2 linked regions of the Nothobranchius furzeri genome follow. The protein of the gene in region 2 interacts with the protein of the main gene of each other region in a pairwise test. Links are inferred from orthologs where the notes say so. Each region holds a gene or a part of one and is shown on either strand. Other genes may lie near its edges.

Evidence for each region.
Region 1: the proteins of usp25 (region 2) and syk interact in binary tests that used the Homo sapiens proteins (3 or more experiments, as listed by UniProt). The link is inferred for Nothobranchius furzeri from reciprocal best matches to the Homo sapiens genes USP25 and SYK.

Annotation. Positions count from the first base shown.
Region 1 is NC_091746.1:36,410,490-36,415,472, reverse strand, and holds the start of syk (tyrosine-protein kinase SYK), read left to right. Parts: upstream 1-2,028; 5' UTR 2,029-2,162; coding exon 2,163-2,687; intron 2,688-3,328; coding exon 3,329-3,489; intron 3,490-4,983. UniProt on the Homo sapiens protein: Non-receptor tyrosine kinase which mediates signal transduction downstream of a variety of transmembrane receptors including classical immunoreceptors like the B-cell receptor (BCR).
Region 2 is NC_091750.1:42,746,274-42,750,552, reverse strand, and holds part of usp25 (ubiquitin carboxyl-terminal hydrolase 25), read left to right. Parts: intron 1-3,493; coding exon 3,494-3,754; intron 3,755-4,088; coding exon 4,089-4,240; intron 4,241-4,279. UniProt on the Homo sapiens protein: Deubiquitinating enzyme that hydrolyzes ubiquitin moieties conjugated to substrates and thus, functions in various biological processes including inflammation and immune response.

The DNA of each region.
Region 1 (4,983 bases), on a different chromosome or scaffold from region 2:
TGCGCGGCTGCCGGCTTTCAGCAGCTTTCGGGAGACCTCTGTGTTCTACCCGGTTTTACCCAGCGGTCAGCCCGGTGTATCTCTGACTCAGAAGCTCTGGTGTTGTGCACAGTTAACTCCGGTTGTAGCTAGGTTGCTACCTCCGTTAGCTTAGCTCCCACCTCCGCGTTAGCTTTGGGTTAGCTTCAGGTTAGCTTGTATCTAGTTTGACCGGGTGTCGTCAGTTGATCCCAGCCTTACAGCCCCACCCTCAGCTCCACCTCTCTTCCCTTTTGTGGAATTGTCTGGGCTTGACGGAACCTGTGACACGGTCAAAATGGCGGTGGTGGCCACTCCCATTTTAGCACAAAAACTTATTATTGGAGTGTATGGTAACCCATTGTCCAATATTTATATGTCGATGGTTCTGTATCATGGGAGTGTGTGTCTGTGTCCAGATGAGAGGAGCTGGAACTCATGGTGTTGTGGATGAGAGCTGTCACATGGATCCAGCCTCTGTACTTGTCTTCAAAACAATGTGACAGGGCTCAGCTGCTGCTCTTCTTGTCTTACTAGACCACTGCTGCCCTTGCTTATGACAGAATGAGATTTACCCTTTTAAAGACAGTCTCACAGTTTGCCTCGAATGTCAGTTTGCGGTCAATAACTGCCATTTGTCCTGTACATCACCGGCAGTGTGTGAGTGTGAAAGTGCATGAATAATGGTGAGCACTTTGACTGCCTAGAACAACGCCATGTAAATCAAATCCATTACTATAATAATAATAATAATAATAATAATAATAATAATATTATTAGGTATTTGTACTCAACTCTTTCCACTTTGGACCTTTAATGGTTGTTAATTCTTATGGATGTTAATCAGGCTCATGATGGAGGTGTTAATAGAGATAAACCTCCTTAAACAGTTTGGTTTTGATGGGTTTGCAGACATGTTGATGGTTTAGATGAAGCTTTGTCATCTGATAAAGATCAATAGGACAGAAACATAAACCAGGTTCTTCTGTTGCTTCTAAATCTGTCTAACTTGTTAATGATGAGTAATAACAGTGGAGGATGATGGGAATTTAGTGTCTACTTGAGGTTATTTTAATTATGAAGGATTTTATGACATCATCCCTCCTGATGGCTGTAGGGATACGTGGCTCAACAGAGGCAGGACCCTCCACCAGTCTGGCTATAGAAAAGAAAAGAAAAAAACCCGAGTTGTTCTTGTTCTTCTCTATTACGTATTAATGAATTATACTCAGCTCCAGCTCAGCAGAGAAAGTTCTCGTTAATAACAAGCTGTCTCTCTAGCTTAAATAAAATTCTTTATGGAACGCTATTTTCTCTGTAACTTTCTTTAAGTCTGTTTTGAAATGTACAGCAATGAATTAAACCAGGGCGCCTCCTGCGCCTTGTGATTTTATCTTGAGAGACGCTATAAAAAAATCTTTTCTTCTTCCTCTGACCGATCACCAACAGAATCAGAGCCTGTAATGTTAGTCTGGAACCTCCGCTGCAACAAGATAATAGATTTTTGAAAAGGTCAAATTCCAGTTGATGTCCTCTATTGGTTCTCACTCATCTCCCTTGTCTCTGGTGGATGGATCTATATCTCTGGTATCCTGCACCTTCTACACTGTAACTGCTCACACCCTTTAAATTAGTATTTTTTCTGATTCTTAAATCTGAAATTAATTTGTGCATTTTAAAGGTGTGGTTTCCTTTTTTAATGATTATTTCAATAACTCTGAGATTTTCATGCAGGCTGAACATGAAAATAATCTAATTTAGTGATGACAAGATGAAGACCCAAAGGAAGGGTGAATCAGAAACTCACCTGATATCAAAAAACAACCCTAGTTAACGTGTGTTTTCATCCAACACTTCTAACCCTGGATTAGAACTAATGGATGAGGTGAAATGTCTTAAAGTAGTGGCTTTTTAAACGATCCCTTCTCTAGGATCACAGATATGGTTAGGCTACTTAGTGCCAATCTGTTTTCAGACATGTTTGTAGTTCTTTGCATGAATCTCAGCTCAGTTTGTAGAAGACCAGTTAGTAACTATTTCCTTCTTCATGTCTCCTTTTTAGGCATAAGAAGTGGAAACAACATTGGACAGTTAATTGTCCACCGTCTTCTGTGATTTTCCAGTTTTGAGGCTCTGGATTATTTATGAAAATTAAAAGTCATTCACAAGTATTTTATTTTTCTTATTTTCTTTTCAGATTAATTTTATGCTGGAGGCTGAAATTTGTGACAAGGCTGCTTGGAGGCCATCAGCACCTAAAAAACAACATGGCGGACACCATGAATGCGTTGCCGTTCTTCTACGGCAACATCACAAGGGAAGAGGCGGAGGTCTACCTGCGGCAGTCAGGCTTGACCAGTGGCTTGTATCTGTTACGACAAAGCCGAAACTATCTAGGCGGCTTTGCGCTCTCTGTTTCATTCTCAGGCCGCATCTATCACTACACCATTGAACGACAACCCAATGAGACGTTTGCGATTGCCGGTGGTAAGAGCCACAGAACCCCCATGGATGTGATTGACTACCATTCCCAGGAGATGGATGGTCTTGTGTGTCTGCTGAAGAAGCCCTGCAACAGGCCCAAGAACATGCAGCCAAAGGTGGGGCCGTTCGAGGACTTGAAAGACAAACTCATCCGGCAGTATGTAAAGCAGACCTGGAACCTGCAGGTTAGTTTCTCTAGCATTTACATCCTTCAGGACTGATCGACTATAAACTAGTCTGATGTTGTATCTGGTCTTAGAGAGAACAAGACTAACGTGTTGCTTTGGTCCTAAAACAGCTCAGAGCTCTTAAATCTCTTAAATTTCACCTTGGTTGATGTGATGTTATTCAATAAACTCACCACGAGTCTTACTCTACATTAAATTATGTAGTTATTCAAGAGCCTAATTATCCACAGCAGCAGGTAAGTGTACTTCTGGTTCATCCAGGTATTGAGTCCAGCAGGAATTCATCTTTCTGCTGAAACCTGAGATTTTAGACATTGATGCTTTAAACCTTAGCAACACAATTTGGAACATTCAGGCTGTATCAGTGAGCTAAGGTGTGTGTATGTGTGGACTCAGTTGGGTGTTACTACGTCACTATGGCCCAGCAGCCTCCCCTCAGTCAATGCACACCCGGGGCAGCTGTGGCTACGTTGTAGCTCATCACCACTAGGGTGTGAATGACTGATTGTGTTGTGAAGCACCTTGGCCCTATGTCAAAAACAGGCTATATACAACTATTTTAACTCAACTACAAAACGCATATTGAATATCATATTAGTATTTATATTAGAGAATGATTAGTATATTTGTTCTTGCAGGGAGCAGCTCTTGAGCAGGCCATCATCAGCCAGAGACCTCAGCTTGAGAAACTCATAGCCACCACTGCTCATGAACGAATGCCCTGGTTCCACGGAGCAATAACCCGGGAGGAATCTGAGCCACGGCTCCAGTGCGGCTCCCGCACAAATGGAAAGTTCCTGTAAGTATCTGACCATGTTCACAATAAATGTTCCTAATACTAAATATTAGAGATGTTAGATATTGACTTTTTTACTGATATCCAACATACCAAATTAAATAGTCCAACTTAATAACAGATACCAATCTAAACCAACACCAATGCATGCAGGGTCGCCCTCTTGTTAAAAAACAAACCATGAACATGAATGACTTTTGTGAATGTGTTGTAACGTGGAAGAAAACAGTCTTGGGTAACATCATTCCACATCTCCTATCATGCATACTTAAACTTTAAACATTATCTTTTCAATTGAAGTGCAGCCACTTGTGCCAAACAAACAATAATATTGCTAAACCTCTACCTGGATCTATCATATTGACACTGAGAGGAAAGTAGCTGAAAGGTTTGGTGTGTCATATGTGCATGCTAGAGAGCCTTACTTTATTTTACTTTATATTAGGGCTGCACAGTACATCACAAACGTATTGTCATCGAGATATCGGCTTGCTCAATACACAAATCGCAAAGAACAGGCAAATACACTATGAATGGTCAGCTCAAACGTTTGCTACACACAATGCAAATAGAGTCCTTCACTCATTTGGCCAATCAGGTGGGTTATTTTAGGTTAGATGCAGATATGGGGTGTTTCTCAATGTCAAGAAACCTTGCCTTGATGTCTTGGTCCCGCCCCGGTTGCCTAGGATATACATCATCAGGAGCCGCCAAGGCGTGTTCCAATCGGTTCCAATGTTCATGTTCTACCGAGGCGTGTGTTCTCCGTTTGTTAGCCGCTTAACTAGCAGAGCAAGGATACACGGGAGGTGTCTTGTAGCCTAGCCTTGGTCAAAAATTACCCACAATACACCGCAGTATTTTCAAAAAGACAGCGGATCAGAAGCCGGCAGCTACTTCGGGGACAATTTTTTAGATCCAAAGAAGTTATCTATTGTTGGTTAGTTGCTTAGTAGTTGCAGCTTCGTTGGCTAGCGGGTAGTAACTCACTTTTATTTTTTATTTAATAAACATATACACAATTTAAAAAGTAAAAGGCTTGTTATATATTTATACTGAAACAAATACATATATCTCCCGTGTCATGTGACGTTACGTGACTGCCGTAAAAGCCGCAGTCACGTGATGCAAGTCTGTTCCATTTAACCGTTTTCTTTAAATGATAAATGATAAATGACCTGCACTTGTATAGCGCCTCTCAGAGTAAGGACTCCAAAGCGCTTTACACTATAGTGTATCATTCATCCATTCACACACACATTCACACACTGATGGGGATGAGCTACGATGTAGCCACAGCTGCCCTGGGGCTCACTGACAGAGGCGAGGCTGCCGAGCACAGGCGCCACCGGACCCTCCGACCACCACGAGCAGGCAAGGTGGGTTAAGTGTCTTGCCCGATCACTGGACAATCCGCTCAACCTGTTGAGCTACTGCTGCCCCTTCCTTTGACCGAGAAAGGACAGTGTCCTCGCAAGCAAGGCGCCTGGCCTCGCA
Region 2 (4,279 bases):
GATCACACTCCTCAGCCTCCCTGGAAAGGTCTACTCCAAGGTACTGGAGAGGAGGGTCCGATCGATAGTTGAATCTCAGATAGAGGAGGAGCAATGTGGTTTTCGTCCTGGCCGTGGAACTGTGGACCAGCTCTATACCCTTGCAAGGGTGATGGAGGGGGCATGGGAGTTTGCCCAACCAATCCACATGTGCTTTGTGGATTTGGAGAAGGCTTATGACCGTGTCCCCAGGGGCACCCTGTGGGGGACGCTCCAGGAGTATGGGGTGGGTGGCTTTCTGTTAAGGGCCATTCAGTCCCTTTACCAGAGGAGCGTGAGTTTGGTCCGCATAGCCGGTAGTAAGTCGGACCTGTTCCCAGTGAGGGTTGGACTCCGCCAGGGCTGCCCTTTGTCACCGGTTCTGTTCATCACTTTTATGGACAGAATTTCTAGACGCAGCCGTGGTGTGGAGGGTGTCGAGTTTGGTGGCAGGAGAATCTCGTCTCTGCTTTTTGCGGATGATGTGGTCCTCCTAGCTTCATCCAGCTCTGACCTTCAGCTCTTGCTGGGTAGGTTCGCGGCCGAATGTGAAGCGGCTGGGATGAGGATCAGCACCTCCAAATCTGAGACCATGGTTCTCGACCGGAAAAGGGTGGCTTGCCACCTCCAGGTCGGGGGAGAGGTCCTACCTCAAGTGGAGGAGTTTAAGTATCTCGGGGTCTTGTTCACGAGTGAGGGTAGGAGGGATCGGGAGATCGACAGGCGGATTGGTTCGGCATCTGCAGTGATGCGGACGCTGAGCCGATCTGTCGTGGGGAAGAGGGAGCTGAGCCAGAAAGCCAGGCTCTCGATTTACCGGTCGATCTACGTCCCAATCCTCACCTATGGTCATGAGCTTTGGGTAATGACCGAAAGAACGAGATCGCGGGTACAAGCGGCCGAAATGAGTTTCCTCCGTAGGGTGGCCGGGCTCAGCCTTAGAGATAGGGTGAGGAGCTCGGACATTCGGGAGGGACTCGGAGTAGAACCGCTGCTCCTCCGGATCGAAAGGAGCCAGTTGAGGTGGTTTGGGCATCTGGTCAGGATGCCTCCTGGACGCCTCCCTGGGGAGGTGTTTCGGGCATGTCCTGCCGGCAGAAGGCCCCCGGGTCGACCCAGGACACGTTGGAGAAGTTACATCTCCAATCTGGTCCGGGAACGCCTTGGGGTCCTGCCGGAGGAGCTGGTGGACAAGGCCGGGGAGAGGACGGCCTGGAGCTCCCTAGTTGGGATGCTGCCCCCGCGACCCGGACCCGGATAAGCGGAGGAAGACGAGACGAGAGACGAGATTTTGAAAATTGACAAACAGGAAATAACAATCACATTGGCAACTTTGTGGGACAATCTTTTAACAGTTTATATGCTGTTCTTGCTCAAATAGACCTTCTGGTGAATTTATGAAGATTGAGAATGTTGTGACATGAATGCGTGTGTGAGTCTGATTTTGCTTCAAGAAGAAACAGGTGTCTGAGTGAAGTGATGGTTTGGATAAACTTAGGTCTTATCAGAGAACTGCATCAAACGCTAAAACCGTGCTCTGTCTCACCGAACTCTTGTGGACCCTCTTTCGGATCCGGGCCGTGGAGGATGTTGTGGTTCATCCAGATGACACCGGCGGCTGACAGGAGACATAGGTGTCGAACGGAACCGGTCCAGAGTTGCCCTCGGTACACGTGGATGGTAGAGCGTTTTATCGATGCGCTTTCTTAAGTTAATTCACTCAGAAATCAAAAGACTCGGTAATGAGTCTTCGTTAGAAGTCGCGATTCAGCTATTCTGCCTGGCTTGGCAGAAACAGCGTGAAAGGGGGGAAGAACGAGCCAACAGGCTCTGCCCCCCCTTTGGTTTTCAGGTCTGTTCTCTCTCGTTGTCCAACACGAACTGAATCCAAAGACTGAAAACTTACCAAAAACCTTTCTCTTCTCAAATCAAAACATGTGCGTCATCAAATGTGTCTGGAGTTTACTGTGGGCAAGATGTGTGTGGGTGTGTGTGCTTGAGTGTGAAGGTCAGTACCACACATTCTTAACATTATTTAAGAATGGATTCATTAAACCATTATAATTACCCCAAAGCATACTAGTCATTCATTTGATTAAACACATTTATAATGAGCAAAATGATAATGGTTATTTTAACATTAAAATCAAGAAAAAGAAGTTTAAACTTTATGTTTTGACTTGGTCTGGGTACAACTCATGTAAACACATCTTCTGGTAGACTGCAGGTGGCAGATGTTATGGTTTCCTCCCAGACTCGCTGGCGTTCAGGTCTTAATCTGTGGGTGAAAGTTCTCAGCGACCCAGCTATGACCCAGCTGAGTCCAACACCACCATTGTGACAGAAAACTCATATTTCCTCACGTTACACATGTATCAAACATTGCGTAGAATCCTTACTAAAACCGTAATTAAGCTCAGCAAAAAAAATGTACTTACGCCAAGTAGGTTTGTGATCCATCAAACGTGGAGTACGCAATCTCCACTTCATAAACCAGAGGCTATCTAGAAAGGTTCTCAGCTGCATTTTAGTCACATCCCGCCCTCACCACGCCCACTTACTGCCATAAATGGCCAGTGCAAAGTGCCTTGTGGATCTCATGCATACACATAAGCCGGCTTTTTGCAGCATTTTGATTACGACCGCAGATCAACGAAGCGCTATTTCACAGAAGCAGAAGTTGAGGTACTTGTGGGTGAGGTGGAGAAATGAAAGGAAGTGCTTTTGCAAAACAAATAAGAGAACATCCACGGAGTGGCGCAGCGTTGCTGAAGCCGTCAATGCTGAGTTCTTCAGAGAGATCTGTGGCGGATATAAAAAAATGGTCCAAACGGGATTCGATCCCCAGACTCCCAGGTGAAAGTCATGCACACGCTAACCAGTCACCCAAACGGAGAGCTACCCTGTACATGTAGCCAGGGCGCATGATCAATCGGGTCACAGTGACAGGACACACACTGTCACACACGCATGACATTCTGTCTCAATCTGCCCCCCTGCTGATATTCTGCATTCCGTATTCTGCCCTTCAGGCTGCGTGTGTGTGTGTGGGGTAGGGGGGGTCTTGTTCTGTGTGAAAACGAAGCAGTACAAGTGATAATGCTGCAGGATTTCATAATTGTATCTTCTCAGCAGCAGCACTGCAGGCGCTCTCCATGTCCAACATGTGTGTAAGCCAGCTCCTTAGTCAACTTAAAGTTGTGCACATTTTTTCGCTACGTTTTCTTTCATAAATCCCAAAGTTTGCGTGGAAAGTTGCTTACGCAGTTTTCCGACCCCGTTTTGTGTGCAAGCAAGCTTGATGAATGAGGCCCCTCCTCTGCAAAGCCAGTCCTTATTCTTCCCTCATGATCTAACTGTAAAGTTTCCTAACCATCCAGCACATTGCTGATTCTACCTTTTAAAAGAACGCATTACAGGATTTTGGATGTTTTCCTGCAGACCCTTTAATGTTGCTCCTCCCACTTTGTTACAGAGGAGTTCGATAAAGAAACAGGCCAGATTCTCAGTGGCATGGACAAACTGCCCCCAGACCTGAAGCGGTATGTGATTGAGGACAACGAGTTGTTTGACAAGGAGGTAGAGGAGTGGGACGCCATGCAGGCCCGCAAAGCCCAGCAGGAGAAGTTAGACCTGGCCTCAGCAGCTGCTGCTTCCACCGCAGCGTCCAGCACTTCCACGTCATCATCTTCTCCGCAGCCAATGAGCATCGAGTCCAGTCCTCCAGACAATGCGGGTATGGGTCATGTACTCCAAAATCAGAACAGCAAAATGGGTTTTAACACAGGACTTAGTTAAAGGCCTTCATGTTAACAACATTAGACTTTAATCAGCGTTTAAGTCATTTAAAACCTACAGTTAAACCTGCACTTCATGCTTCTCACTCGCAAACTAGACTCCAGTGTTTTCCTGCTGAGTGACAGACGACTCTTGCTACTGCTCGGTGTAAAAGTGAAAACGGTTAAAGACCCTCCTGCTCATTAGCTCAGGATACTTGTTACTTCCTTTAACTCGAACTGCTTTGATGTGGGTTAAAGCACCTGCCTGTTGGTGGTTTTCCCTTCCTGCAGCTCCTCAGCAGGACCCAGAGTACATGGAGCAGCCGTCACCCACAAACGACTTCAAGCACCTGCAGGAGGACACGGAGAGGGCCATCTCCAGAGCTGTTGCTGCTGCTGCTGCTGCTGAGCAGGACCGGAGCCCTGAAGCCTTATTAAACACTGTACGTTCTCTTAGGTCAATGCTTTTACCTGCACTTCAG